7 linked regions of the Oryzias latipes genome follow. The protein of the gene in region 1 binds, or shares a complex with, the protein of each later gene. Links are inferred from orthologs where the notes say so. Each region holds a gene or a part of one and is shown in the gene's direction. Other genes may lie near its edges.

Region 1 (4,271 bases):
AGATTGTCAAGTGAATTTCTTTAAAAAAAAGTGTACACTCAAGTGGAGCAGAGAAAGTAAAAATTCTATTTTAGTGAGTTTTCTCCTATTCAAAATCTTACAGCCTGTTTATCACTCCCTTAATTTGAGCTGAGCTCGCCACACAAATGTCAAATCTCTTATGCTCATCCTAGATTTTTTTTGCTCAAACTACTCTAGTTTTGAGATTTTGGTACCCACAAGTGAGGAGGTGCTCTGCCACAGTCATAAGTACCTGTTTAGAATCGGTATGTGCCAACTTTATACCAGTACTGTTTCCCAAAACCAAGTAGTTGCATTGTCTGGTACAAGCTGAAGCTGGTATACAAACTGGAGACCAGGTTTTTTATGTAACTAGAGATGATAACAGTAAAGTGAGTTTTCAGAGAAAACCCCTGGATGTTTCCTCAATCAGTCAGCACTAAGGTGGCATACATTGCCTTGTACAGATCTGCGGTCAGGGCTGCACTGTGACAAAGTGGTTAGCGCTTTACTCTAAATCTGTGCATGCGTGGGTTTTCTCCAGGAGATCCGGCTTCCTCCCACCATCCAAAAACATGCGAGTGGCCGGGTAAGGCTCTGACAGCCCCATGACCCCGAAAGGGACAAAACGGGTTTACAAAATGGATAGATTTGCCATCAGTGTTTATGCCCAGACAATTCAGAGAGCAGAGACCTTGAGGTGAAAACTTGCAATCCCTTTATCTTCGTGGTTTCCGACCAAACTCTTCCCTTTAAGACAACTTACTGCCTCTCTTAGATTTCTACATAATTTGGGAGAGGAAATGAAACAGCAATCTTCTTTCATCCAATTCACCAAACGAAAGTCATAAAAGAAAATGAATTAATTTCAAAGGTAATGTGGTTGACAGAAAGAGTTCGGTAAATTTTTAACCTCTGCTGTGCTGTTCACTTCTTGCAAATAAAGAATGACCTTGTGCCTTTTGGGATATTTATTTGTACAAATATGTGGTTGAAAATGAAAATTGTCATTCGTGTCATTTTAAACTACGATGAAGCCAACCTGTCGCAATAAAGCATTAACTTCCCGGTACCAAAGAAATATAATTACTAATTTTATTTATGTAAAAATTAGCTCAAAGTTGTTGTTTTTTAATAATCGAGCGAACAAAAAATCTAAGTTGACAACAAGACAAGTCAGCAATGAATTTGGTTAGCTTATAATTTCGTCCTCTTACGGTTTGTACCGTCAGTTCAAAGACAAAAGCTCAGACATGAACAGTATAGGCGTTTGTCGTGGTAGAACGATAAGGAAAATCACGCAAAAAGTATCTTAAGTCTTGAAAAAAGGATGAAAATATTACCTTTCGTGTGGTTAGCTGAACTCAGATTGTTGTACTTCCGGTGCATTGTCGCTGACAACGTCTTCATCAGCCAATCACAGCAGGAGATGGATGTTTAAACCAATCACACAGCTCATACTCACCGGAAACACTTCATCCTGATTTCTTCGTTGGTGCTACGCTTTTCTCGTTTCCCATGAAGGCGCAAATAGTCATTCGGTAAACCGTAGTCACAAACAAACTTATTTTTGTCGATTATTTGCAATTATTTCGGGATGATTGAACCAAAGAAAAGAGCGGGAGACATGGCGGTAATTCCCACCGCTGTGAAGCGAGCCCGGAACGAGCTGGTGGCGGCGGCACAGTCCCAGCAACTCGTGGCTACGGTACGAAAAGAATCAACGTTCACACAAAAAAACTCAAATTAGAGAAAATATATACACACGGGTGTTGACCCGCATTTGTATTATGCATGCTTTAAATGATGTAATCTAAAATTTACTCAAACACGACATTTTTTGTGGTGCACCTATTATTTCTTGACGTAGAGAACACATGACAACGAATAACAACACGAGTTTTCGCTAGGATATTTAATTTTTGGATGTAATGTTGCTTCTTTAAAATACGTATTATATTCGAAATCCCGTTGTTATCAACAAACTGATGGTAAAGGAACCTTTCCCAGTTATGGGTGTTTCCGGGGTGAACCGTGAACAGGTTACAAATCCTAGGCTAATGTTATGATAGAAAATTAAAAAATGTTATTTTTTTTATTAAGCATGAGTTTTGTGTATTTAAACCTTTTCCAGTTTGTAGATGTTTTTCTGTAAGTAGATATTTTGATTATTGAGACAAAACTATAGGATATTTAACAGGATAGATACTAAATCTTTTTTTTCTATTGTAAAAAATAAATAGCTTTTAAACACTGGGGTTTCATTTTAGCAATCATCTTTTGATGTTGCAAAAATCTGCATGACATATCACCTGCAACAGTCACATTCACAGTCACCCATGCACACACACATTCACACACTGATGGCGGTTTCGCTCTCTTACTGGCGCCAAACTATAACCACCAGAAGCAATGTGGGGTTCAGTGTCCTGCCCAAGGACATTTCCACACATGGGTGGGCAAGGCGGGAACCTAACCTGCGATATTCATGATCAGGTGGACCGCTCTGCCTCTGCACCACAAGCCCCTGCATGGAAAGTGTGCCACCATAGGGTGCAGAGGCAGAGCGGTCCACCTGATCACAAATATCGCAGGTTAGGTTCCCGCCTTGCCCACCCATTTGTGGAACCTAACCTGCGATATTTGTGATCAGGTGGACCGCTCTGCCTCTGCACCACAAGCCCCTGCATGGAAAGTGTGCCACCATAGGGTGGCAAGATCCTTTGTGTCACATGATCAATTTGATCCTTTACAAATGATCCATTTCCTCACTGGTCTGCTGCAGATTTGCATTAAACTTTGTGGACTTTACTCTGAAGCGTTCTGTGGCACATTAAGCCCAAACGCACTTTTATTTATCTGTCTTTTATCACATGCCTGTTTTCTTTTTAGATTTCACTTGGACTAAATCTGGAAGAAAAAAACAGAAAGTAAATTAAACTGACCTTTCTCCTCCAGGGTCCTCCTCGGACCTCCAGCCTGCAAGCTCCCATCATGCTGATGTCGGGCCACGAGGGCGAGGTGTACTGCTGCAAATTTCATCCAAATGGAGCCACGCTGGCGTCTTCTGGCTTCGACCGACTCATATGTAAGCAAAAAGAGGCAAGCTGCCGTTCTCCCGGCCTTCTTCTGTTGCTTTGTTCCTCACTTACTTCCTTTACCTCAGTTCTGTGGAACGTTTTTGGGGAGTGTGAAAATTACGCCACCCTGAAGGGCCACAGTGGAGCTGTGATGGAGCTGCATTACAACACAGATGGCAGGTAGGAAGAAAGCTGTAGATTTTATCTTTAAACTTCACCTTTAAATTGACATTTTTCTTGTTTTAGGTTATGTTTACAGTGAAAGTAAAGCTCATATTCTCATTGTTTCTTAGTCTTAGTTTGATTTCAAAAACTAAGGAACTTTATGGAACAAAAAAAATGTTCATCTGTAAATTTTAGGACTTGGAACTATCTACATTTCTTAAATAACCTTTCCATAAAATTTGACTGGATCATTTTTGTGCCTCCAGCTTGTTATTTTCGGCAAGCACAGACAAGACCGTGGGCATTTGGGACAGTGAAACAGGGGAGAGGATTAAGCGCCTGAAAGGTCACACTTCCTTTGTTAACACCTGCTACCCAGCTCGCCGGGGGCCACAACTGGTCTGCACCGGCAGCGATGATGGGACGATAAAGGTGTGACATTTTTATTTTAGGTGCAGTTATTTATTCTGAATGCTTCAACTGTTGAGGTCCCATTCAAAGTTTTTAAATGTTGCTTTATTGTATTTTTGTTAATCGTCACTGCAGTTGTGGGACATCCGTAAAAAGGCGGCAATTCACACCTTCCAGAACACCTACCAAGTTTTGGCCGTGACGTTTAATGACACCAGCGACCAAATCCTGTCTGGAGGCATCGACAATGACATCAAGGTATTTGGATTGTTCTAAAAAAAACAACAACCAGCAGAGTGTCCTTGGTTTTGTTTTGTAAGATTAACAGGAAGTCTGAAATCTCAGCTGCTACGTGGCTCTACTGTAGATGGCAAGAAAAAAGTTTGACATTTTATAAAAACTCAGTGTTTAAGGTAAAAACTTTCTGACATTTTGAAAGAAAAAAGAAATCAGTGATTTAGTTGTTTTCAATCCGTTTTAAATAACACATTTTATTAGTCTGCCATAAAGCTTAAATCAACGTTTTATCATGTGTTTGCCTTCATTTAAATGCACCAAATAATCTGATTCTACTTAGATAAAGACTAACATGTGAAAAAAAAAATTTCGGTTTCA
Region 2 (4,229 bases), on another chromosome or scaffold:
TAAAATCATCTGCATAATCTCTCTCTAACCAGCTCAGAGTTAGGGTGTCTGCCCTGAGACTGGAAGGTCATGGGTTCAAACCCAGGCTGAGTCATACCAAAGACTGCTGGACACTCAGCATTAAGGGGTTGGATTGGGGGGGTTAAATCCACCAAAATGGTTCCCGAGTGCAGCTGTGTCTGCAGCTCACCGCTCCCCCAGGATGGGTCAAATGCGGAAACAAATTTCGCACACTTAGGTGTGTGAGAGAGAGTGGGGTTTAATTTAATTTAATTTAACACACATGTAATTAGAAAGTCACATACATGTTTTTATGTTTTATATTCTTAATTTAGCTCACAAAAATCTTAGGTGGGGAAAAAACACTCCTCAATGGAGCTCATGTTCCTGCTAAATTCATAGGTCTGCATCTGCAGGTGAAAATATATTTCACATTTAATCAAAAACAAAAGTTATGCGATAAATTCTAAACCTTTTTGAAGAAAGAACACTACTGAACAAGAAGAATCATTTGTACCTCTCACCTTCTTGACTAAATACTTTTATAGACAACTTCTTTAAATCGACTGCACTTTTTAACAATGTTTATTGTAGAACTCAGATTAGAACTTTAAGTTTATTTATAAGGAAAGTGAAGTGAAACCTTTTACTAATGTTCATCTTGGGCTCGAGTTGTTTCTTATGTTTTTGTTTTTCTCTGCTGCCCTCTTTTGGATAAAATAGGTCACTGCTGTGACAGTAGAACCTGGTCAAGATAAATGTTTAGGAAATAGTTTACAAAATTAAACTCTAATATTGAAAACAAAATTACTTGTAAGAAAATAATAATAATAAAAAGTTTGAACAATTATGGAAAAATTACAAAAATTATCAACAATTTTCACTTATTGAATTTGTGTTGCAAAAACAACTACAGTAATTACATATCTGTATGCTTGTTAATATTATGTGTAATAGGAAAATAAAAAAATAAAAATCTAAATGATAAATTAGACTATATACATCCAACAATTGAACATCTATGAAGTAAATGACGCTATATCCAAACTAGTTGATGTATCAATATTTAAACCTTCTTTTCTGCTATATGAAAGCTGTTCAAATATTATTGGTACTTGTGTTAATCACTGAAATTAATCCAAGCAAAAATAAACGATTACTGAAAATGTACAAGAAAAAAGTCGAAGCAAAACCTTTGTATTTTTCCCTTCAGGATTAAGAAATAAATATGTACTGAAACAGACGTTGACAAAAAATATGGTGACTCAAAAACAACTTAATTATTAAATTTAGCCTTTTAATTGGTACCAGATGTGTTTTCATACTTTTTATAAGTCATAATTAGTCTGCATATTTGAAGGATTTCACACTGAACGTAATTTTTGACCAAATATCAAATTGTGCAGTATTGACATCCTGCCTGTAGGTGGCGCTTGTTCGGTGAAGGGAAACCTTTCAGTGCAGGAACCGGATGCGGAAAGAAACCCGCCATTAAGGCAACTTGGCATCGTGAGCTGAACGTTGAAATCATTCAATTGTAAAAGGCAATATTTCTTTAACGAAATACTTCTTGCGTGTCTTTTTTGCGTGTGAAGAGAATGGCTTACCGAGGACAAGGACAGAAGGTGCAGAAGGTTATGGTGCAGCCCATTGTATCCTTTCTTTGCTGTTAGCATTTGTTAGCAGCGATGCTAATCGGTTATTTCTCGTGTTTGCTCATCGGTAAACTGTATTCCTTTTTTTTCTAGGTACTACATGACTTTCTAAATACATTGGAATGCATATTTACTGACTTTTTTTAATTTCAGTATTGAAGCACGTATTTTTCTGTTTATCGATCAAATTTAAGCACGACGTTGTACTTCGAAAGAAATTGAATTTGAAACAAACATTTTTAGCATTTTCTAAACGTACATAGCAATATGATGGGTTATCAATTTACTATTATACATTTTACAAAAATACGTTTGTTTAATTGGAAAGAAGAAAACAATGACACGTTTACCTTTGGCAGAGTTTTCTTTTAGTGAAAAAAGAAGTCAACAATCGAGATGTTGCACTTAACGACTTAAACTAATAATATTAGTTAAATGCACTACTTTGGTCTGATAATTAAATGTTCTTTTGATTTGTTGTAACAATTGGTCATATTTTGTAGTTTTTTATTTGGTTTTTAACTTAACTCAAGTTTGTCCCTGTGAGTGTGTGAGACCTGTTTTCTTATTTTTCTTGATTATGAAGTGACATGTCATCTATAAAAAAATAAAAAAGATGTTAAAGAAATTAAGAATACCATTAAAATTTGACTCGTAAAAAAACCCCTAACAAAGTCAATAAATAAGAGAAAATCTAATGCCAGAACCCGTTTTAAATCCATTTTTAAGCGTGTCTTCAGTTGTTTTGACATGGTTGCCCTACAGTTTACGTTATAACGTGGATACATCAGCAGAAGTTAAATAGTAAACTGTAAAACTCTAGAACAATTGCAGAATTTCTGTAAGCTGGTAAAAGGCATAACTAACGTTAAAAGACCGCCGATAATACTTCAAAAATAGATCAAAATGATCTGAGTGGGACTTTCGAGCAAATTCTGCGTCATCCATAGCTTTATTTCATCATTTCGGTCATGTAATTGGTTTGTGAAGTCCTTTTTCACTGGCTTACATTGAAATGTATGACATTCACTGGTATTTAACAGGATCTCAGCTCTCCGGTTAAAGTGCAAAACAGTTTGTGTCACTCTACTGAAATTGAAATGACTAGTTCATGTTATTTGAAATATCTTCTGTAACATTGAAACGGTTTAGACATGTCATTTCCTTGACTCTGTTCATCAGAACCTCATTTTCAGATACCTTCAGAACGTGAGTATTGAAGGCTCTTGCAGGTTCACCTTTTGTCTCGGTGGTGACTGAAATACTGATTCGTGTCATCTTTGCTTTGCAGCGCTCACGAATCCAGGTGTGGCTTTATGAGCAGGTGAACATGCGGATAGAAGGCTGCATCATTGTAAGATTTCTCTTTATTTTACTTTCACAGTGTTTGTTAACTTTCCAAATGTGTGCCACAGTTACTTTAAAACTGGTATAGACTGTAAAAACGATCGACGATTCCAGGTTTTCCTTCTCCGCTCCAAAAGGGGGAACAAGAGAAAGTTTGAGAACCACTGACCTAGCATTTTAGTTATTTTTTTTATTGGAGCTTGGTAAAAGTTCTTAATGGCTGGTGTTAGATCCACAATAATCAACTTAAAACTGTTTTGCAGAAATTTTTTCTACGACTATTTTGGGGCTCTGTTTTAGCTGCTTTTGCAGCGGGCACCTTTCTTACCAGTAGAGCAGAACTCTGCAGCTGATTTAAAAATGTATTTGAAAACGGCAACAAAAAAAACACACACTGGTTCAGACTCACAATACAGTAGGTAAATGATCAATGAGAACAGCATAATGACAAACTAAGCATGAATTAGGAGACCAATTGAAATTGCCGGTCCTACACTCTTGACACTTTAATCTATTTTCAGAACATTCTCGGTGATCTTTTAACTATGATTATGCTGTTTTTAGCCGAAATAAAAACAAACAACCTGTGCCGTTTTCTTGGGGGGGAAAAACCTTGAGAGCCTGAATTTAAATGAATCCAAACAGCTTCAGTTATGAAAGTAGTTAATTGATTATTTCCTTTTTATTTTATTTTCCAGGGCTTTGATGAGTACATGAACCTGGTTCTAGATGATGCTGAGGAGGTCCACATGAAGACCAAGAACAGAAAGCCACTGGGTAAGACTCTTTAGCTTGTTTAATTTGTTAAATTTCAGTTACTATTTTTTGATCTTAGCAGTTATTAGAACAGCTTTATTTATTTATTTTACAATGAAAAATTTGAATATTCTTTGTATTTATTAACATGTACTGTTAGCTTTTGTTTCTAGAACTGCTGTAACAAAATATTTGTTTGAGGAAAACATAGAAATATTTTTCCAGTCAGTATTTATTTGTTATACACTCAGGAATGTCAGTTTTTAAAATGTCAAGATAAATTTCTTTCCTTGTTTCACAGGTCGGGTTATGTTAAAGGGCGACAACATCACCTTGCTGCAGAGTGTCTCTACCTAGTGACACCAGTGACGACTGCAGATCCTGTCTTTTTTTTCTGTTAACTGCTTACGATTTTATGCATAAATGTGAGTTTCTCTACAACCTTTGAGAATAAATGGCTTTGTTTTTTTC
Region 3 (4,099 bases), on another chromosome or scaffold:
CACTCACTCACGCACACACGCACGTGCACAGCACTGCCATTTAAATAGTGGGTCAGAGTCGTTTTCATGTAGCTTCACCAACCAAACTGTATGTTTGTTTTCTTTAAAGGAACAAGGATGTTGTAAAGTATTTTTGTACAAATTTAATACTTTGGTAGCATGAGGTTCCTGGTGTTTGTCCCAGTCCCGTCAGCCTTCATTCACCCCCCACCTCCCACCCCACCTTCTGTTTTTTTAATACTGAGCAACAATAAAGTGAGACGGGAGGCTGTGACTCCACATGTGGTCTAACATTAGCACATGCATTCAAACGTGTCTGTTTGGGTTTCCTGTCATGTATATAATGTTTCACATTAAACTGAACTAAAGTTTTACATTTGTAAAAATCTCTGAGTCAAAATCTTCTTCAGGAAATCTTAATTTCTCTCTTGATCATCCGAGGTCGTCCAGGACGCAGAACAGATGATCAGGTGAGGTTCTTCAACCGGCCTGGTCTGAATGTTAAAATGGAGATACGTCTCCATTTATATCCCATCATCCCTTTGTTTACGCTCTCTCCCACTAGCTTACAGCCCCTCACAACCCCAACTTAACTTTACTAGTGTAACCGTACAGCAAGCAGTATCAGAGCTTGCCATCCATCCAGGTCTGATCCAGATTCCAGTTCAGACCAGGAGAACGACGACGTTCATGGATCTGGTGGATGATCAGAAAGGGGCGGAGCAGGAAGGCTGTGGCCCCGCCCATCTTTGTTGCTGCGTAACAACTGGGAGTTTTTTTCAAATGGCATTTTTTTTGCTACTGATTTACGATTTTAATAAAGAAGTACTTAGAAACGCAGTTTTATCTTAAATAATTTTATATATGCTCTCCATTACGAGAAAAATGCTACAAGAACATGTTAAAAACATCACATCAGAGTGGGTCTTTAAGGAGAAACTGAAAACTAGGCTAGAATTAGTTTTGGATCCTAAACCGTTAAGAGAAACGTGAAACCGGATAATGACCACATCTAATGATTGGTTCTGATGATGCTGGAATGTGTGAAGTATTTGTTACAAAAATAAATTTTAAGAAAAACAGCCTGAAAAGTTCAGATTGGAGCTGTCATTTCATTTAATTGTATGATTATTTGTTTAATTAAGTTCTTTAAACAAACACTTTTTAAAGCAGATTTTAATAATGTGTGAATGTGTGAGGATGGAAATTAAAAGTAAAGAACAGCTCAAAAACAATTTCTCCAAACTCCGTCCCAGGTGGTGACACTAATGCGCCAGCAGGGTGTTTGCTAACCGCCAAAAGAAAACACAGAAGAAGAAGGAGGACATGCGCATGCGCGCTTTGACGCCTCAGCTCTATGAATCTGTGTGAGATTAGCTGAGCCTGGCTGTTGTTAGCTGCCGCCGTTAGCCTGTGCGGTGTTTTTGCGGGTTCTCTTAGCCTGTTTCAAACGCAAGTCTTCCCGCCAGCTGGATAAATAAAAAAGGAGCTCCGGACAAACATGTCCACCGCGCTGGAGAGCTACATCAACCGTATCCTTCCGCTGCTGCTAGCGGCTAACAGGCTAACCGCCGTTTAAATGAATGGAGGGCTAACTGCTAGCTTAGCGCGCTAACGAAAACTCGTGTTTTGTTAAATATAAAGAGTGTAATTTAAATGTCTATTTAGTAGGCTTAACTAAATTCATCTTTAGATTTCAAACACTGTTTATTTTGTGCTTTTGTTCGGGTATCGTGCAAAAATAAGAATTTGTAGCCTTTTGGGTTATTTTCAGCAGAAAGTTTAAACCAGATTATTTTTCTTATCGTTTCCTGATTATTATTCATCGATCATTGGAGAACCGGGTTTGTCAGTAGAAGTAAAGAATAAATAATTAGGAGAAATGCTCTTTTATATTTCCTTAGATTATTCCTAGAGATTAAAGAGATTTGCATGAATCTCTTTAGTTCTGGAGGAGGATCTCCTCACAGGAACCAAAACATTCTGAGAACTTCATGATGAATATCAGGAATTCTACTTCTAAACCGCTTTTATTTTCCCAGAGTTCATCTTTTTGAAAACATGCTGCTGGTTTCCCCGCGTGTCTTCAGTGAAACTGAATCTTATCTTACAGATTCGTGCTAATTTCTCCTACATCCCATAATTAAATTCGTATTTAAATCAGCTGCAGAGAAGTTTGTTTTGCTGAAAAGCAAACCACAAAAAAACAGTAAAAAGTAACATCACACTGACTCAGTTTAATCAACTCCAATAAAAATTGTGTTTCTGATTTCAATTAGGCAGCAGTGGATGCAGTTTATTCTCAGCAACAGAAAAGCAGCTGTGAAGGTTTTTGTTCTTTGAGGCTGAATCTGTACAGCATGTTGTCTTTTCCACCAACCAGAAGTCGGGGCGGGGCTTCGGTCACCTGGGCTCAGTTTTTTCTTAAACTTTTTCTCTGCTGGTATCTGGAGTCCAGGGGACTTTGGATCCGACACTTCGCTCTGAACTCAGAGGAAAAGCTGCTGTAGAGATTTTTGAGCTTCCTAGAAGCTGTGAGGTGATGATGTGTTCTGGATGAGTTTCTTTGACCGATGCTGGCTCAGGTACGGTGGCCATCGTCACTTCAGACGGCAGGATGATCGTGGTGAGTTCAAATGCTCCTCCTGTCCTCGGCTGGATCCGCTCTTTTCGGTTGGAGCCCAGCCTCATTTTCTCATTTCTGATTCTCTTCAGGGAACTCTGAAAGGCTTCGATCAGACCATCAACCTCATCCTGGATGAGAGTCACGAGCGCGTCTTCAGCTCCAGTCAGGGCGTGGAGCAGGTGGTGCTGGGACTCTACATCGTCAGAGGAGACAACGTGTGAGTCTGAGACCGCCGGTCCTCCCATCAGAACACAGAGAAACAGGAAACAGTTGAAGACAGTTGAAAGGACATTTGATCTGAAAACAGCAGGTAAAAGCAGCTCAGCAGCAGAGTAGAGCGTCTACCTTCAGCCCGTGGGTTCGAGTCCACAGGTCGACAGAATCCTCCCCCTCCAGGGGCAAAGAGCCGCTCTGATGAAAATGCTCTTCTTCTTGTAGAGGTTTTCTGATGATGGAGGTCATAGATTCAGATCATTGAGATCAATTTCTGAGTTTTTCTTTAATCAAATTGTTGTGAATCAGGAGCAGACGAAAAAAATGCTGATGGGAAAAAATTACATTTATAGCGTAGAAAATACTCTGGGCGGGGCCACAGTCTCCCTGCCCCGCCCCTTTCTGATCATCCACCTGCAGACCAACAGATCCATGAACGTCTGTTCTCCTGGTCTGAGCTGGAATCTGGATCAGAACTGGACGGGTGGACCTGATGTTGCTGCTGTTTTTGTTGTTCCATTAATGTTAAGATGGGGGGGTGAGGGGCTGTAAGCTAGCAGGAGAGAGTGTAAACACATGGATGATGGGAAATGAAGATGGGCTCACTCTGCACTGCGAACCATCTGAAAATAGATCAGAAGCTGGTGGGAGTGGGACTTTAGCCCCCCAGCGGGCTCTAAAGGTCATTCTGACGGCGTGGCGATTCTTTTTTTCCTCATCAGAGCGGTGATCGGTGAGATCGACGAAGAGACCGACTCCACGCTGGACTTGGGGAACATCCGAGCCGAGCCGCTCAACTCTGTGGTTCACTGAGCTCACCGTCTCCACGGCAACAGTGGACTCAGGGGGAGGGGTCTGCTGCAGCGGGAGCCGTGGAGATGAAGATCTGAGGGTGATCAGAGTCTTCCTCCTCCAACAGACTGTTCTGATGTTTCCACGTTTGTATTTTTATAAAGGAGGTTTGAGTCACGGTCTTCATCTCCAACAGAGAAAAGTTGAATAACGTTGGATTTGATTCTTTTCATTTTGCTTTAAGGTGAAACCAAGACTCAAAAAAAGACTTGAGTTTGTTTTAAAGCACAAAGTTCTGCTTTTCTTCAGCTCCATGTTCTCGTCTTTCAGGGAAGAACAAATAAATGTGTGAAAATGTTTTCCTTTTAGAGCTTCTGTTCTGAAAACTTTATTAGCTATTTTTTTTAAACAGACGTTTATTTTATTTAGATATTTGCTTTGCTTTATTTGTGATCATGGAAACTTGAA
Region 4 (4,265 bases), on another chromosome or scaffold:
CCATCTTCTCACCAATTACCCATTTGCCCTGAGCTGCTGAGCAAGCAGAAAAACAGTGTTAGTCCACCTGAAATTCTCACTGATTCTCAGTGAAGAGCAGTATAAACAGGAAACAGTGTGAACTGAGCGTGGAGCCTGTTTGCGGTGCTGTCTGAGCTTGTTGCAGGATCTCTTCCATCACAAAGCCATGATGTAGCTGAGGGTGGAATGGGCAGTACCACTGCTCTGATCTGCCTCCCCTCCCACTGACAAATCCAGTATGAAGAACTGGATCGTCCTGAGAAGAGAGGAGGCGCACACCTGTAACCCTACAAACACAACGCGGAGAATAGCAGCCTCACAGGACCAGAGGCTGTGTATGACATCACAAACAGAACGTCTGCAACCCATTTAGTTACATTAACCAGTCTAAACTAGTGATGTTCAATAAATATAGTTTTTTCCCCAAAATAAAATAATGACGCAATAAATCACAACCGCTGCATCATTTTATCTTTACTTAAATAGCATTTTGCTTTTTATTTTCCAACACTTGGTTGGTATCCTGTATACAAGAAATTGTTATTTTTAATAAAAAAAATAATAATTGAAAAGCAATTTATTTCGTTTTTCTGCTTTTTAAGTCCACCTATTATAATTTTAGACTGTTATTAAAACGATTTCTTATCTTTAAATGCAAGACTTTGAAAAGAGTAATCAATGAACATAAAATAGCCTTTTTTGGTCTGTTAGTTTCAATTAATAAATCGATTAATTATTTAGTGTAATCATTAAAAATAAATATTTGAATAAACTGCAGATTACATTTTAGGAATATATTCTCTCTTAAAAGAATTTTAACGGTTTTCTCACTAACGGAAAGCTTCATTATGTGTAACTATTTACATTTCATTTCTCGTTTACATTAACATTTCGCATACGGAATATTTCTAAACAGACCCGTTAGACACTGAATTCCCAATAACAGCTTTACTACCACTCAAAACGCTCTGGAATATTAGTGTAGACAGGACAAATACCTCAAAATGAACAGATATTTATGAATTAATTTACCTTCTCGCTGCTCTGCGCGGATGACACGACAGTGTCCTGTGAGGACAGAAAGCTCTGGAAAACGCTAAAGGACGGTACTGGATAACGTTGCCAGGTTTGAACATACACGCAACGCGTCGAGAGAAAGGTGAATTTCTTTTCTTTATAGTTTAGTCTTTTCAGTTGTTTCAATTTAAAAGTGGCAGGGATGCAACAAGGAGATGTTTGTGTTGTATTTAAATTTTAGGTAAGGACTATGTATGGATTTACACATACTTTAAATTTAGTCTTTTAAGGATGGATGTTGATACCATAAGTTTTAATAATAAACATTTCACATTCTCAAAGTACGCATAGATATATATTGTAAACTAATTATTTGTATAAAATTCAACTTTGTTGAACTGGAAATCGAGGGATAATTCGAAACGCACGTGTGTGTTGCCGTTTGAAATCTTAATTTCACCGGACCTGGCAACCTGCGTACCGGAATCGACGCGCGCATGCTCGAACAGTATGGCGGACGAAGCTGAGCAGGTTAGCGGTTCTTTCGCTAATTATATGTTTAACCTTACAACGAACGAACAGAAGCCCACTTTGCTTCTAAAAGTGCAGACTGCGCTGCACGCTGCATTATTTTTAAAGTGCTTTAAGGTTATTACAGGAACGTTTTTGACCTGTTTGGGGCCGTGGAAGCGGCTAACCGAGTTAGCCGAATTATTAGCCTTGGTGTTCCTGTGTTTCAATTGAACGCAAATGTTTGGTTTGAAACACAGTTCATTGCTTTAGTGCTAACCAGGCAGCTAAATAGTTTATACAGGAAGGAAAGTTTGTGTAAAATGTGTGGGGAAAACAACAGCTGTAGCTCCAGCCGTCGAGGGCATGCATTCTGCTGTGTTCATTAAACGGCCTTCTTCTGATTCTGGTTACCTCAGGTGTGTTTTGCTAATCAACAGCAGGCAGACTAGGACACCTGCCCTCGAGGACTGAAACTTTACATTTGAGGTTTCTACTCTCTGAAACGCTTGGCGTTTCTGGCTGCCGGCCGCTCTGGGAGGGGGGGGGGCGCCTACCGCGGCCGGCTGGGGGGCCGGTCGCTCGGGGGAGCCTTCTCCCCCGGTTGTGCCCATCCGCCCGCTCCTCCCCGCTCTCACCCAAACAAATATTGCACACAGGCACATAGGGCCCCGGGATCTGGATGGGAGGGGTATGCTGGCGGGGCTCACTGGGGATGCCCCTCTCTGGGTTCTCGTTGGCACCCGCCCTCCTCCCCGCTTTTTACTTGCATATTAGACACTCTGATTCATCTAGGGCCTTGTGGAGAGGGTCTGGTGGAGGGGGGCACGGTGAAACATCCGTGCTCACCTTTCGCTGGCCCCCCCACAATTTTAACTTCCTCTGTAGACACACACACTGCATGCTAGCAGCACACACACAGCAAATACACACCACTCACAGAGGGACTCCGGAGTGGGGGGCTTTGCGGCTTGGCAGCGGTGGAGCCCCCCACACTGGTGACCTCCTATTTTACCTGCAGCACACACACAGCACTCCCACACCTCCATACATGGGTGGGGTCGGGGGGGGGGGGCGGCCGGTCTTCACCCGCCTGGTCCTCTCAGGGCGGCCAGGCTTATGGGTGTCCTGTCGGCTGCGGGAGGGGTCGGGCATGCGGCGCTGGGGGTTGGCCGGCTGGGGGGGGGGGGGGGGGGGGGGGGTTACTGCTTGGCGGCGGGGGTAGGGAGGGTAACCAGATGATTGTGAGTATGTGTGTGTGAGTGCATGGGTAGGACCGACCTGGGGGCTGGCTCGCTGGGACCCTCTGGGGCTTTCCCTCCCAATCACAGAGAGGGGAGGGCACTGAGAGGGTTGGGGAGGGGGGGTCAGATATTATGGCGGGGGGGGGGTTGTAGTGCGTCGGGTTTTAGGGGGGTGGCTGTGGCTGCGGGTGCGTGGCGATCCCTGGGTTGCTAGGGTCGCGTGCCTGGGCTGGCTTGCGGGGACGGGGCGCTGGTCGGGTGGTGGCCGGCTCATGGGTTCCGGGGCCCTGGCTTCGTCCCTGGCCTTTGTCTCGGTGTCCGGCGCCCGGTGGCCCCCATGGCTGCCGCCTGGTACGGCTAAGCGCTCCTGTCTTGTGGCCTGGGGGCCGGACACTGGGTTCGCTTGTGCCTCTGGGCATTGGGGGGGCCCCTGTAGGGGGGCCCTCTCTGTGCCTGGCTGGTGGGGTGGGCGGTCCCCTCCTCCTCCCCTCCCGGGCTGCCTGGGTCCGGATGCTGGGGGGGCTTCTGGCCTGGGGGGCTCTCCTCCCCTCTCCTGGTCTGGCTGGTCTGGCTGGGTAGGATCTGGCTCCCTTTATGAACACACGGTTCACGTCGGCAGCATGCATGTATCTCCACCCCCACGTGCACGTGCACACTGCCACACTGCTCCCTGTCTGCTTCATCCCTCCTCCTTACCTACAGTGTATTGATGGACAGTTTTTTTTCCGCTCATCTTAGTGTCAGATTTTGACCTTTGATGTAACATTCGTCTTTCCAGCAGATCTGGTATAATTGTTACAGCTTAAATTAATAACTTAGTCAAATCAGTGCTTGTATCCCCCACCTTTTCACCTTTCTTCCTTTTACTCTCTTCCACCCTCCCCTCACATTCTTCCCCTCTCCCTCCCCACACACACTAAATGTAACAAATAAATAAAAAATAATACGACAAAAAGGGGTTTATACAAATCTACACTCTAGTTTCTTGAAGCTATATAACCTCTTTTTGTGATAGTAAAACCTGTCCAACACAAAAAGCCTTCAGCTCTAATCTGTTTGCTCAGAAGTTGGACAGAACAAGTTAGAAAAAAAAAAAAAAAAAAAAAAGATTAGTAAGCAAACTGACTTTCATTCTAATCACAAGGTTTAGAATTTTTAGTCACCAAAATGTTTTTTTTTTGTCTTTTATTTTTATTTTTAATGCTATACTCTTAATTTAACAGTTCAAACACATTCACACAGGTTACCCAAACGCCAATACATGTAATCTGCCTTCACTTGTTTTGCTGAAACCCATGAGATTAGTAATGCTTTTATATTAAACATATATAAATGTCACAAAACAGTCGTTTTTGGTGTCTTAAATGTAGGTTGGATGTTTCAACATTTTATTTTGATTGCTGAATTAAAAACTGTGAATCACAAGTTGATTTCTGTGTTGTCAAATTGTGTTGAGATGGGAAAAAAAGTAGT
Region 5 (4,117 bases), on another chromosome or scaffold:
ATAATTTTACTTGTTAATACTTGCCAATCTGTACTGTACTGAATTATGTCTTGTAATGTTTCCTTATTTTCATGTTTATATTATTAGCAGTCTTGTCATTCTTTATCTTGTTTAATGACCGTTTATGTAGCTTAGCATGACAGAACAGTTGCTCATCAGTAAATAAGACCATTTGCTTGTGTATTTGTTAATTTATTTCATTTTCTACTAATAGCCATCAATCATGCAGCTGAGGTCCAACTAGTCCATTTGTTTAGTCTGTTTAAATGTTGGTTTAAAATTGTATTGTTTAAAAACTGGGTTTCAAAGGGGAGGATGTACAATAAAAACTACAAAATGTGAGCCTCTTATCCAATACGGGTCATGTCCCAGTCATTGTTCATTCGTTCAAATACCTCACCAATTTGTTGCAAGGGCAGGGTCCTTTCTGAGTCCCTATATTGTGTCAATTAGAAGTAATATTTAAATATGTTCTACTGAAAGCAGAAGTCAGTTACAGAATAAAATGTATAAAATAGAACAGTTAATAAATATAAGTCTAATAAAGTGGGAAACCACAATTGGTCAAAGCATAAACGTCCATTGATAAAGAATTTGTGGCCCATTGTTTTGTGAATGAAATTTTGATTGTAAAGGTAATTGTCTTATTTCTATAAAGTTTTTGTGTGCTATGGTGAAGTATCATAATTTATTAAAATTGTTGTAAAAAAAAAAAAAAAAAAAAGTTAACCAAACTCTAGTTTCCTGAATGCAAGACTGGTACTTTGCTGCCATGTATGTATTATATTTTGTGTGTAAATATTTTAAAACGCAATTTAAATATAAAATGTAAAGTTTTTAAGTTCTTACTTTGTCCCATCACTTTTGAATACGTTTTTTTTAACAGTTTGTCACAGAAACTTACTAGTCATTTATTTAGTTATTTGTTGTTGTTTTTTTAACTTCTCTTCCTATTATGTACAGGTAGCTTTTAAGGGTCTAATAAATAATATAAAATAAATTAAGAATAGAAAAATATTTTTAAAACAATATTTTAAGAACTACAAATAAAAGAAGAGTTATAGTAAAGTCATTTTCGGAATACTAGAAAAAAACCTGTGTTTTTATTTTGTGGCCTGAAATGTAACTCCTTATTCGAATAAATATGTATTTAGTTGCGACCTACTACACATTTTTTAAGAGAAGGTAATTAAAGCAACCAAGTAAACTCATAAAGACCGAACATTCATTTTTAGAAAGAAGCCCGTATGTTATTTTCTCATCTCTTAAGGAAAGGGGATACTTACCCATAATCCCATGCGGAAATCGTGACGTATTTATTCTGCGACAAACCACCCGGATCGTGAGCTTTATGTTGTAAACAGGAGCAAGAAGCCGCACAAGTAGCATTACCTATATTGGCTTCTATTAGAACCCTTCCTGTCTAAAGTGACTTTTAAAAAAATATAAATATATTTTTGTTTTGTTTTACTTCATTTTGAAAGTGCGACGTAAGTTACTATTTTTCAGTGTTGAATGACGTTTGGTGAACGTTTGCTAACTTTAGCTAGCTAACACAGAATAGCAGACTGATATCAGTTTTTGTTTTTTTCAACGGGATGTTTATAAAAAATAACACTGATAGACTTTCGTTAGATCTACTTCCTTTTGAAAATAATTGCAATAAACACAAATTTAACAACTGCCCACACTTTTACTCTCGTTTAAGCTGAAAGATGCATTGTTAGAAGATGGATCATGAATTTTACTCTGATTGCAGATGTCATTGGCTGACGAGCTTCTGGCTGACCTGGAGGAAGCTGGAGATGAGGGGGAAGATGGGCTGTACCCAGAGGGGGAGGAAGGAGGGAGTGATGGAGAGGGGGCTTCAGGGAGGACAGAAAGACTGGAAGATATCCCCGAAGAGATGGAGGTGGACTACAGTAAAACTGACAGCATTACGTCTATCGCCAAGCTCCGCAATAGCAAACAGGTCTTTGTTTAGCTGACTCTCATAAAGAGTTCCTTTTTTTCACTACCTGAAGGCAGTCCCTTTTAACTGCTTGTTTTCAGTTTTCAGATATAATTGAAAAAATATCTGGATATATTGGAAAACAGCGCAAGAATTCAGATGGTGAGTGTTGAAAAAATGTGCATTTTAACAGAAAATGTTACTGATTTACTTCCATTTCTTTTTCTCCTGTTTACCTGTATTTTCTTTCAGTTTCAGGACCAGTTGAGGCTGACCCAGAATACAGGCTGATTGTTGCAGCCAACAATCTTACAGTTGAAATTGACAATGAGCTTAGTGAGTTGGACTTTTATTGTGCGACAAAACCTAATGAAGAAATTGGATTCTTTCAACTGAAAGTGTGAGGTCTGTGTTTCTCCTGTCTTTTCAGACATCATTCACAAGTTTACAAGGGACAAATACTCCAAGAGATTTCCAGAGCTTGAGTCTTTGGTTCCAGATTCTTTAGATTACATTCGCACAGTCAAGGTTTGTTGATCTTAAAAGATAAGTTTGGAGACGTTGAAGTTACCGGATATCAAATTTTTGATTTTGTTTTTCTTCTATTAAAAGAAAAGATTTGCTGAATGGTTTCCATTATTCTGCATAGGTTTGTTTTTTTCTTTTTGCATCTAACCTCTAAATCTTCCCCCTTTTTTTGTTGTAAATGTGTGCTTCGTATAAAGGAATTGGGAAACAACCTGGAGAAATGTAAAAACAATGAAACCCTGCAGCAAATTCTAACCAATGCCACCATTATGGTCGTCAGTGTCACTGCATCAACTACACAGGGGTAAGTTTAAGAATGTTGGTACTTGTGTCCTATTACAATAAACTTTTTTTTTTAACATTTCCATTATTATGTCTGTTGTTTATTTTATTTACATAGACACTCCCTTTATATATTTTATTGTTTTCCTCTTAAGGTCATTGCTAACGGAAGATGAGCTGAAGCAGCTTGAGGAGGCTTGTGACATGGCTCTGGAGCTCAACCAGTCAAAACACAGGATATATGAATATGTAGAGTCCAGAATGTCCTTTATAGCTCCAAACCTGTCAATCATTGTGGGAGCATCGACTGCAGCAAAGATCATGGGTGAGGAAGTGAAACTATCTAGAAAATATCAAGTTTTTTTATGCCCATACATTTTTTTTTCTTACTTTTGAATTTTTTTCCCTGTTTGGCTGAAGGCATTGCTGGAGGCCTAACAAACCTCTCAAAGATGCCAGCCTGCAACTTGATGCTGCTGGGAGCCCAAAGGAAAACTCTGTCAGGCTTCAGTAGCACATCGCTGCTTCCTCACACGGGCTACATCTACCACTGTGATGTTGTGCAGTCATTGCCTCCTGTCAGTACACCATATTCAAGAATAACAAGTACCTTTTCCACATCTAATGTTTGTTTGCCTTAGTTATCTCCTTTCCCCTTTTGTTCTCCCCCCTCAGGACCTTAGGAGGAAGGCAGCTCGTCTGGTGGCCGCGAAATGCACTCTGGCTTCTCGAGTAGACAGTTTCCACGAGAGTCCAGATGGAAAGGTAAACATCTCAAATTAAAGGAACATTCAGAAATATAATTTCTGTCTCTGTTATTCAACTCCCTTTGTAATGCAGGTTGGCTATGACCTAAAAGAAGAAATAGAGAGAAAGTTTGATAAATGGCAGGAACCTCCACCAGTGAAGCAGGTCAAACCACTGCCAGCCCCGCTGGACGGACAGAGAAAGAAGAGAGGAGGAAGGAGGTCAGTCACTTATGGTTATTAGTATTTGATAGAATTGCCTGTAAATTCATCAAAACCTCTGTTTGTATTATAAATATAGTCAATGGCTTCAAAACTATTTAAGGAATTTTATAATTCTCAAAAACTGCTCTTTTGCCAGAGTTCTTTTAAAAATATGCTGCAATGTAATTGTTGTTTTAAACATCTTTGATATAGAAATACTTTTGTCTAACAAAGAACTAACTAAATGGAGAAATACAATTATTTGGACAGCCCTACTCAGTTCATTTTTGTCCAATTAGTTTACTTTGAAGTATTTTGTAATATCTTAAACTGCAGTACAATCAATTAATCTGCATAATTGTGACAAATGTTGAATTTATCACAGATGTAATGTTTTAGTGAAAGA
Region 6 (4,049 bases), on another chromosome or scaffold:
AGGAGAAAGCACCCACGGAGGGTGAGAGGGGCGTTTTTTTAAATTTTATATATATATATATATAGATATATAGGGAGCTGGTTTAGCTCGTGCTGGTTTGCGGCGCCTTCCGTCCGTGAAACCAGGGTTCGACTCCGGGCTGCTCCCTGTTCCCTTCTCTACTTCTGTGCCGGTCCCAAGCCCGGTTGCTTTGAGAAGGTTGCGTCAGGAAGGGCATCCGGCGTAAAACATTGCCAAGTTTACCATGCGACTCGTTCGCTGTGGCGACCCCTGATGGGAAAAGCCAAAAGGGAAACCAACCCTATCTATCTATCTATCTATCTATCTATCTATCTATCTATCTATCTATCTATCTATCTATCTATCTATCTATCTATCTATCTATCTATCTATCTATCTATCTATCTATCTATCTATCTATCTATCTATCTATCTATCTATCTATCTATCTATCTATCTATCTATCTATCTATCTATCTATCTATCTATCTATCTATCTATCTATCTATCTATCTATCTATCTATCTATCTATCTATCTATCTATCTATCTATCTATCTATCTATCTTCTGAAGATGAGACCCACCAACTCACACATTGATTCTCGCACTGTTTTCCCAACAATCTATATGTCATAAACACTTCTCAGCTTACTTACTTAGCCATTGCCTCCTTGGTAACCGCCTCGCACCATGATTCCTCTGTAGCAAACGTGAAATCTACCTGGCGTTGATACAGAGTGTGAGTGCCTGTATGGTGAGATGTCATCCACAGTTTTGGCATCTTCTCCAGCTCCAGGCTCAAATGAAACATTTACAAAACTAAAATCATTTTCTTACATTAAAGCTCGGTAATGCAAGCCTTTCAAATAAACAGCAGAATGTGAGAGTTCGTCAGCACATGTTGTCAGCAGCCTGGAGCTGATGACAACAATTCTATAATTCCATTGGGTTTTATATTATCTGATTATAAATCATTTTTAATTTCACTTATTTATTTATTTTTTGACATTTGGTCTTGTCTCATTGTTATAAAATAGTTTATTTATGTTTTTTTTCATAGTTTGTTTATTTTTTGTTGTTTACTAATTGTGTGAATGATGTTGTGTCATTTTGTAAACTGATTTTATTTATGATTATTTTATTATGACTTTATAAAGCAGATGCACTGGAATGTGATCAGAATATAGTCCGAGTCTTTTTGTTGCACTAATACATCCAGAACGCCAGGGGGCGACGTGAGGCGCGGCGAAAAGCTCGATGCCACTTCCGTTTCCTGTCGGCGGCAAAGCGTGCTTCTAGTTTGTGAAGCTAAAACGTTTTTGTGACGAAGACATAATAAACTTCTAATTTACTGTTAATCGGGTCTAAACTTAATCGAGCAAAATGGTGAGTAACTCTTCAAATATGTAATTTCACACGGCCTTTGGGTTTATTGAAGTTTGTTAAAACAAAGAATTTAAGAGAGTTAGCTCGTTTATGCTAGCCATGTTAGCATCCCATTCATAACTGGTTTACACAGCTCGTAGGGGAAAACAAACTTACACTAAAAACAAAACTTTAAAAATGAAACGGTTAGATATTCAAGTGAGCTTTTACTAAAGTGTTGTTTGTTTTGGGTAACGTGTTGCCGTATCAGAAAATGAACGTCCGTCGGAACAACACAAAACTATGACGTTCCTCTGCAGGTAGTAGTGTGGTCGAACATTATACAACAGATTAATAGAAGTATATAGGTCATTTGAATAATTAAACTGCTCCAAAACCGAATTTATGTACTGTTTCCCAATTATTCAATTTATTTTTTTAATGCAGTCCAGATTGGTTCTTCAGTCGCTCCTGTTGATGATTGGTGGTGTAAAGAAATCAGACGTGGAGACTGTCCATAACATGAATAACCCGCATACTTAAAGTTCTAAATATCTCATAGGGAAAAGCGTCATGTTTGCAGACTTGATGTAAGGTTTCAATCCCCTCTGCCGCAGAGTTTGCCCCTCAACCCAAAGCCTTTCCTGAACGGCCTGACAGGGAAACCAGTGATGGTGAAGCTGAAGTGGGGAATGGAGTACAAAGGCTACCTGGTGTCTGTGGACGGATACATGAACATGCAGGTAAAAGCAACTCTAGCTTCATTCACAACTATATCAGGGTTTATTCTGGGATTTTAAAATGCAGCTGCAACACAGAGGCAAACTACTCAAAAGTAAATGCAATTATTTATTCAATCTATTTTAAATTAGTCAAGAGTGTTTTTATCGTACTCAGTTTGTTATTATTATACATGTTTCTAAATGACCAACAGTGTTTTCAGTCTTCTATTCTGAGCATTAACTTAGACGACTGTTGGTGGAAAACCAATTAGCAGCTTTTCTTGTACCAGTTTACAATTTTTTTCAAAAATTCTAACTATCCTATCATATAACATTTTAATAAAAAAAAGTCGTTTAAAAAAAGGTCAAATGGCTCCTGTCGCATAGTGACAGCCTCTGCAAAGATGACGGAGGCTTTTTTGAGTTTGCTAAACGATCCTGTTCAGCAATTATTGATCAGGAACTTTCCGCTTCATCCAAGAGTCAAAAACAAACTCAATACAGTTTCTAAATGAAAACACTTCTGGTTTTTCACAATAAGATTATTCTGGGCACAAATAACAAAACATTTCTCTGAACCAATGAAGTCATTCAAACCAAATCATAAATGTTGTCTCACATTGTTATTTAAACAGTAAATAAGTCAAAACAACTCTAAACACTTATTTTTTTTAAGTATTTATCTGTGATGCTCATTTTTTGATCAGGGTTATCCGTAGTAATCACAACTAAAAATGTTCCAAATTTAGCTTTTTTGTCCTTCACTGAGCAATTAAGTCTGTAAGTCAGTCGCTGCAGCGGCCTGATACTGCATGAAAGTTGGCTAGCATTTCTAAATCTGGAACAACTTTTCTTACCAAAACATATCAAACCATTTTGTTCTATTGTTTAGATAGCAGCACATGTAGAATAAAAGAAATCTGTTTAAAAAATTGAGATTTCAGACCCTTAAAGCTCTCACACCAAACCGGTGTTGCTTCTCCATATTTTACATAATTCTTTGTATATTTAGATTTCATGAAATTTGACCTTTGCTAAGAAACTCTTGTTGTTTAGATGAAGGTTGTTGTTTAACTTTGTCATCTTTTATTATGAGATTTTAAAAGAAATACATTTGTTGTGTTTTACTCAGAGGAAATTACCATAAACATTTTACTTGTTTAGTTTGTAGAAAAAAAGTGATAAACGGCAGGAAAAGTACATGATTGTTGCAGAAATCCTCAGATGGAATGGGTTTTTACCAAACTGTGACACGCCACCATAACAGTAACATCTTTTCTTACGCTTTTCTAAGCTCTTCAGAAAAAAGTCTTATATCTGGACTTGTTTTTAAAATGTTTAATTTCCTGAAATTCCAAAGTAGATTCTTTGTCGAGTGAATTTTCTCAGGTTAAATATTAGTTAAAAAATGACAGAAAAATATAAGTATTTAGATGAAAACTTGGGTGCTGGAATTAAAGGTTAATCTTTTAACATTTGTAGAAAAGAACAGAAAATTTGCATTTGGTTATTTGGGAAACAGCAAAGAAATCCATAAGATCTTTTTTTTTTTTAATATTCTTGTGGCATCTTTCTCATGATGGAGAACACGTATGAAGAATGAATCAGGAGCAGAAGACAAAATGCCTTTTGATTAAGATCGTATTTGTGACGTTGAAAATATGGTGGGCGGGCAACAAGCTCCCTGCTCCGAGGGAAAGGGGGGCGGGGTTGCTCTGTACCAACAGTTTCGCCACAACAACAAACTGGGTAATCATAATTAGAACCACTGGGAAGGCTTTGACACTAGATCTTAAGATGATCAGAGCTGATCTTTAAACTAAACGTTATGAGTAGTTTACTGTTTAATCCAGCAGAGGGCGCCACAGAATGAACGTAAAATCTAACAAATCTTTAATTTGGTAGAAAAATGAAGAGAAGGTTTGAGGTTTTGACTTTTCTGTATGATGTCTGACAGCTGG
Region 7 (4,076 bases), on another chromosome or scaffold:
TCTGAGTACAATCTATAGGTGTGCACTTTCCCCTACAAAGTGTTTACCTCTAAGTAAATCCTTTTGCTTGCTTGATCAGCAATTGGATAATTGCCTGGCAACAAAAGCTGACAACCCAGATCAACATCTAAGTGACATGATTCAAAGGCATCAGTGTAAACAGGCCTGTTAGCATCCACCCAAAACAAGTGCTTGTTTGATCTCTGCAAATGTCACTGCTCATGGCTGGACTGGAACTACGTTCAGAGTCAGGTTAGCATGCATTAAACGCCTGAAACCCTCATGGACACGTAAAGTAGATACACATGACCACACGCTGCACAGGTACAGGTGTTTACAGAGTAGCCTGTCTGCTGACGCCAGTCAATGACCCTGTTGCAATGGAAATCAAATGATGGTTCATTTGGTGATGTCTTTTATTATCCCATTATGCTTTGTCTTTCCTCATTAGAAACCTCTTCCAGCGTGAGAAAGCCCCGCATTAAGCAATGTTTATGCGTCTCACTGAAGTGGTAAAAAAGACTAGTCCACATAAATAAACACGCAAGGGTATGTATATGATACGTAAAGTCTGTTCATTCAAAAACTATGTAGAGTAAATGTTTATAGCTCTCTGTGGTCGATGAAAAAAATCCATTTGAATTGATTGAGTCGTTTCATTTTCATAATCTCTTCTTGCTGGGATGTTTTGACAAGCATATGTGCCAGCTATACACGTGTTCGGGATTCAAATCTTTCACATAAAACAAATAAGGAAAAGAGAAAAAACATAGTGAGGAGGATTATGGAAAAAAAACATGCACCACTGCAAGGAATCAATAAAATATTTTTACAAATATCTATCCAGTGTTCCATTATAGTTGATTTTTTCCAATGAGTAATCATCAAATTAAATTCATGTTAATCTAATTCAGGACAAATAAACAAGTCATTTTTTATTGTGTACATTTTTAATCTGTTAACGTTTCATGATTTCTATTTTTGTTTGAAAGTCCAATGTCCTATAATGATTGGTATTCCTGGACCTCTCTGAGGCCTTTTGATGAAAATTAGTTTTTATTTACTATTACTACTACTTCCAATACTACTAAAAAAGAATAATAATAGTACAAAAAATAATAACACTTATTATTATTATTGTTGTTGTTGTTTCTCCTTAACCATCTTTCTGGTAACTGGCTGACTCAAGTGAGTCTACATTCTGTTTGACCTAACACACCTGGTTTAGGTAATCAGAATCAACTACATGTCCCATAATGCACGGCGAAAAGCGCCACAGGAAACAAACGCTTTGTTGGTGCATTGTGGGTAAGCGGAAAAAAGGCTCAAACGCCAAGCTCAACGACTAGCCCACGTTGCTGAGCCGCTAAAAAGAACAACAATTCAAGAATTCAAAGGGAGTTGAAGTAAGACTTTAAACCCTAGCTACTAAAGCTAGCAAGTATTATATTGTGGTTGGTATTTAGCTGTGAATGTGATTCAGAATTATCGCTTTTTGTCTACATTGCCTCCCATTTGCTAAGTTTCGAATATGTCCATCGCTCCATCCATGCCTGATATTTAGCTTGTGTCTAAAATAATTTGCACGTTTGAGTCCCAACAATGTTGGGTGTGAAGCATTAACGTTAAATATATTGTGGTGGTTTACTTCCCACAGTTTTTAATTAATGTTTTGTTTCGCTTGAGGCCAGTAGTTGGTGGCTAGTTAGCTAACGTGGCTAGCTAAGCTAGCCATTAGCGTTACTACGTTTTAAAAGTAATCCCGAACATTTACCTGATTAAACTGTGTAATCCAAAACTGAAGAGTTTTCTGCAGCACTTGATTTCTCTACGTAGAAATAATACCGTCTTGATAAACAGTACAAGAAATAAATCACTAACGAGGTAGCTTAGCTAATGATAATGGAAACATTGTTATACTTAAGTGCCTTTTTTGTACGTTTTTTTTTGTGGGTGTAAATTACCTTATTTACAGCACAAAACAAGTCTTAAGTATGTTCTAACAGTAAATATTACTTCCAAGCCAGACACATGCAAACATAATAATCATAAAATTGGATGAATGAATTGCATGTTGTAGACTTTCAGTAGCCTTCTGTAAACAAAGACAATACCGTACGTCAGGTTTTGTGATAATACTGTATGTTTCAGTGCCCTTTACCGTATGTTTTGTCTTTTTTTTTAATTTAATAGCCTAGAAAGACCGTTTCCAAAATGTCCATTGGCGTACCAATCAAGGTCCTGCATGAAGCAGAGGGACACATTGTGACCTGTGAAACCAACACTGGAGAGGTTTACAGGGGCAAACTGATCGAGGCTGAAGACAACATGAACTGCCAGGTTTGTATGGAGTAACGTCCCCCCCCCAAAAAAAAAAAGCATGCCGTAAATTTCTATTTAGAGTTCAACTCACTGTACCACACTTGAGAAGAACATTTTAAATGTGTAAAGAACACAAGAATGTTTTTTTAATGGACATTTTATTGTTGGCTGCCCCCCCCCCCTTTTATTTCACATACTTTTTGGAAACAAAAATGCCAAAGGTATTTTAATGCAGTTTATTGCACCAACTCTTATTTAGACTTGCACATTTGTTTTTTTTGCTTTCACAGGAATAAGTCTAGAATCTACCAATTATAACAAGCAGGTGATGTAGAACTATTTGAGTAGGTTTGTTGAGAATGTAGTATTTTAGTAAAACAATTGCGGTGAGACAAACTCATGTTATACTTTCTTTCTTTCTTTTTTTTTTTTAAAAAACAGTTGTTCAACATGTTTGTAGCGAAAGACAAATCGGTTACTCCTCTTCGAAGAAAAATCTCTCCCGGTTTCTTTGTCCCTCAAAATCTCAGCCAACCACACGTGTGTAACGTATGATTGATTGATGTAGTGACTTAATTACTCAATGAGATCAATGGTGCTTTTACAGTCAACAAAACATACTCCCTTTTACTAATATGCATCAGGTCAGTGACCTGTAGGGAAAAACAAAAACCATAAATGATTTATCATTACCGTTGGAAGTAAATAGAAACACAGCACTAAGAAACCAAACGGCCCTGTGTGGAAAAAGGAAATTATGTTGGATTATTTTAAAGTTTTGGGACAGGTTGCCTTTATGACCTTTGTTTTTTTGTTGTTTTTTTTGGGTCTCTAGTTTTGGTTGCACATCTGTAACAAACAAATCTGGAATAACAATTTTATTTTATTTTGTAAATTTAAGTTGTGTTCTTTCTATTAACTGACCCAATTCACCCCCCCCCCCTAAAAAAATCTGTATAGTTATCTGGTCATATATGCACATTTGTCCTTGAAATATTTAAAGCCATTTTTCTTAAAGTATTGAGTACTGTAACTAAATATATTTCCCAAACATCCTGTCAATGCTGATAGTCTTTTCAAGCTTCATTAGTGCAGTAAAAGTTTAATAGACTCCAAATCTGTTTATTTCATTTAAAAGCAGAAATTTTGGTGGATAAAGCTCAGTGTGTCTTAAAAGTACTCTAAAGATAAGTGTGAAGGCTTTAACAAAACGCTAAATATTCTAAAACGTATATTCTGTTAATAATTGTAGATTTCTTATTAATCAAATGACAAATCAAAAAGGTTGTTAGAAATTATTTTAAGGGATTAAATGAAGTATCTACAAATGTGTTTTCAAATAGAGAACTGCATTGCCAAGTTTAACAGATAACTTAAAATGTTAACCTGCATTCCATTGAACACTGTAAACGTGTATCAAGCCATTTTACGAATCTAAGACCGGAACCATTTATTTCTATGTCCCAACAGATGTCCAACATCACAGTAACCTATCGTGACGGGCGGGTTGCCCAGCTGGAACAAGTGTACATTCGTGGCAGCAAGATCCGCTTTCTGATCTTACCAGACATGTTAAAGAACGCTCCAATGTTAAAGAGTATGAAGAACAAGAACCAGGGTTCTGGAGCAGGAAGAGGCAAAGCGGCCATTCTGAAAGCACAAGGTGAGTGGTTCCTAACCAATGCTGATAAATGGTGTGTCCACTTTTCCTTATTCTTGGTACACCCTGCTTCCTGAATGCTGTTTTTTTTTTT

Evidence for each region.
Region 2: snrnp40 (region 1) and snrpe share a complex: the UniProt entries of both Homo sapiens proteins name them as parts of the U4/U6-U5 tri-snRNP complex. The link is inferred for Oryzias latipes from reciprocal best matches to the Homo sapiens genes SNRNP40 and SNRPE.
Region 3: snrnp40 (region 1) and lsm8 share a complex: the UniProt entries of both Homo sapiens proteins name them as parts of the U4/U6-U5 tri-snRNP complex. The link is inferred for Oryzias latipes from reciprocal best matches to the Homo sapiens genes SNRNP40 and LSM8.
Region 4: snrnp40 (region 1) and lsm3 share a complex: the UniProt entries of both Homo sapiens proteins name them as parts of the U4/U6-U5 tri-snRNP complex. The link is inferred for Oryzias latipes from reciprocal best matches to the Homo sapiens genes SNRNP40 and LSM3.
Region 5: snrnp40 (region 1) and prpf31 share a complex: the UniProt entries of both Homo sapiens proteins name them as parts of the U4/U6-U5 tri-snRNP complex. The link is inferred for Oryzias latipes from reciprocal best matches to the Homo sapiens genes SNRNP40 and PRPF31.
Region 6: snrnp40 (region 1) and snrpf share a complex: the UniProt entries of both Homo sapiens proteins name them as parts of the U4/U6-U5 tri-snRNP complex. The link is inferred for Oryzias latipes from reciprocal best matches to the Homo sapiens genes SNRNP40 and SNRPF.
Region 7: snrnp40 (region 1) and snrpd3 share a complex: the UniProt entries of both Homo sapiens proteins name them as parts of the U4/U6-U5 tri-snRNP complex. The link is inferred for Oryzias latipes from reciprocal best matches to the Homo sapiens genes SNRNP40 and SNRPD3.

Annotation. Positions count from the first base shown.
Region 1 is NC_019869.2:21,982,921-21,987,191, reverse strand, and holds the start of snrnp40 (U5 small nuclear ribonucleoprotein 40 kDa protein), read left to right. Parts: upstream 1-1,471; 5' UTR 1,472-1,597; coding exon 1,598-1,708; intron 1,709-2,958; coding exon 2,959-3,088; intron 3,089-3,166; coding exon 3,167-3,260; intron 3,261-3,511; coding exon 3,512-3,677; intron 3,678-3,791; coding exon 3,792-3,914; intron 3,915-4,271. UniProt on the Homo sapiens protein: Required for pre-mRNA splicing as component of the activated spliceosome. Component of the U5 small nuclear ribonucleoprotein (snRNP) complex and the U4/U6-U5 tri-snRNP complex, building blocks of the spliceosome.
Region 2 is NC_019863.2:23,629,254-23,633,482, reverse strand, and holds the start of snrpe (small nuclear ribonucleoprotein E), read left to right. Parts: upstream 1-1,429; 5' UTR 1,430-1,598; coding exon 1,599-1,652; intron 1,653-2,837; coding exon 2,838-2,864; intron 2,865-2,946; coding exon 2,947-3,009; intron 3,010-3,700; coding exon 3,701-3,779; intron 3,780-4,059; coding exon 4,060-4,115; 3' UTR 4,116-4,229. UniProt on the Homo sapiens protein: Plays a role in pre-mRNA splicing as a core component of the spliceosomal U1, U2, U4 and U5 small nuclear ribonucleoproteins (snRNPs), the building blocks of the spliceosome.
Region 3 is NC_019881.2:23,243,759-23,247,857, reverse strand, and holds lsm8 (LSM8 homolog, U6 small nuclear RNA associated), read left to right. Parts: upstream 1-1,299; 5' UTR 1,300-1,501; coding exon 1,502-1,532; intron 1,533-2,585; coding exon 2,586-2,626; intron 2,627-2,715; coding exon 2,716-2,843; intron 2,844-3,561; coding exon 3,562-3,652; 3' UTR 3,653-3,999; downstream 4,000-4,099. UniProt on the Homo sapiens protein: Plays a role in pre-mRNA splicing as component of the U4/U6-U5 tri-snRNP complex that is involved in spliceosome assembly, and as component of the precatalytic spliceosome (spliceosome B complex).
Region 4 is NC_019863.2:18,333,455-18,337,719, forward strand, and holds the start of lsm3 (U6 snRNA-associated Sm-like protein LSm3), read left to right. Parts: upstream 1-1,465; 5' UTR 1,466-1,548; coding exon 1,549-1,569; intron 1,570-4,265. UniProt on the Homo sapiens protein: Plays a role in pre-mRNA splicing as component of the U4/U6-U5 tri-snRNP complex that is involved in spliceosome assembly, and as component of the precatalytic spliceosome (spliceosome B complex).
Region 5 is NC_019874.2:19,364,284-19,368,400, reverse strand, and holds the start of prpf31 (U4/U6 small nuclear ribonucleoprotein Prp31), read left to right. Parts: upstream 1-1,317; 5' UTR 1,318-1,490; intron 1,491-1,759; coding exon 1,760-1,972; intron 1,973-2,052; coding exon 2,053-2,113; intron 2,114-2,203; coding exon 2,204-2,287; intron 2,288-2,381; coding exon 2,382-2,479; intron 2,480-2,676; coding exon 2,677-2,783; intron 2,784-2,916; coding exon 2,917-3,086; intron 3,087-3,181; coding exon 3,182-3,339; intron 3,340-3,436; coding exon 3,437-3,526; intron 3,527-3,601; coding exon 3,602-3,729; intron 3,730-4,117. UniProt on the Homo sapiens protein: Involved in pre-mRNA splicing as component of the spliceosome. Required for the assembly of the U4/U5/U6 tri-snRNP complex, one of the building blocks of the spliceosome.
Region 6 is NC_019881.2:20,375,325-20,379,373, reverse strand, and holds the start of snrpf (small nuclear ribonucleoprotein F), read left to right. Parts: upstream 1-1,249; 5' UTR 1,250-1,384; coding exon 1,385-1,387; intron 1,388-1,983; coding exon 1,984-2,109; intron 2,110-4,045; coding exon 4,046-4,049. UniProt on the Homo sapiens protein: Plays a role in pre-mRNA splicing as a core component of the spliceosomal U1, U2, U4 and U5 small nuclear ribonucleoproteins (snRNPs), the building blocks of the spliceosome.
Region 7 is NC_019870.2:16,128,909-16,132,984, reverse strand, and holds the start of snrpd3 (small nuclear ribonucleoprotein Sm D3), read left to right. Parts: upstream 1-1,276; 5' UTR 1,277-1,406; intron 1,407-2,193; 5' UTR 2,194-2,214; coding exon 2,215-2,340; intron 2,341-3,792; coding exon 3,793-3,985; intron 3,986-4,076. UniProt on the Homo sapiens protein: Plays a role in pre-mRNA splicing as a core component of the spliceosomal U1, U2, U4 and U5 small nuclear ribonucleoproteins (snRNPs), the building blocks of the spliceosome.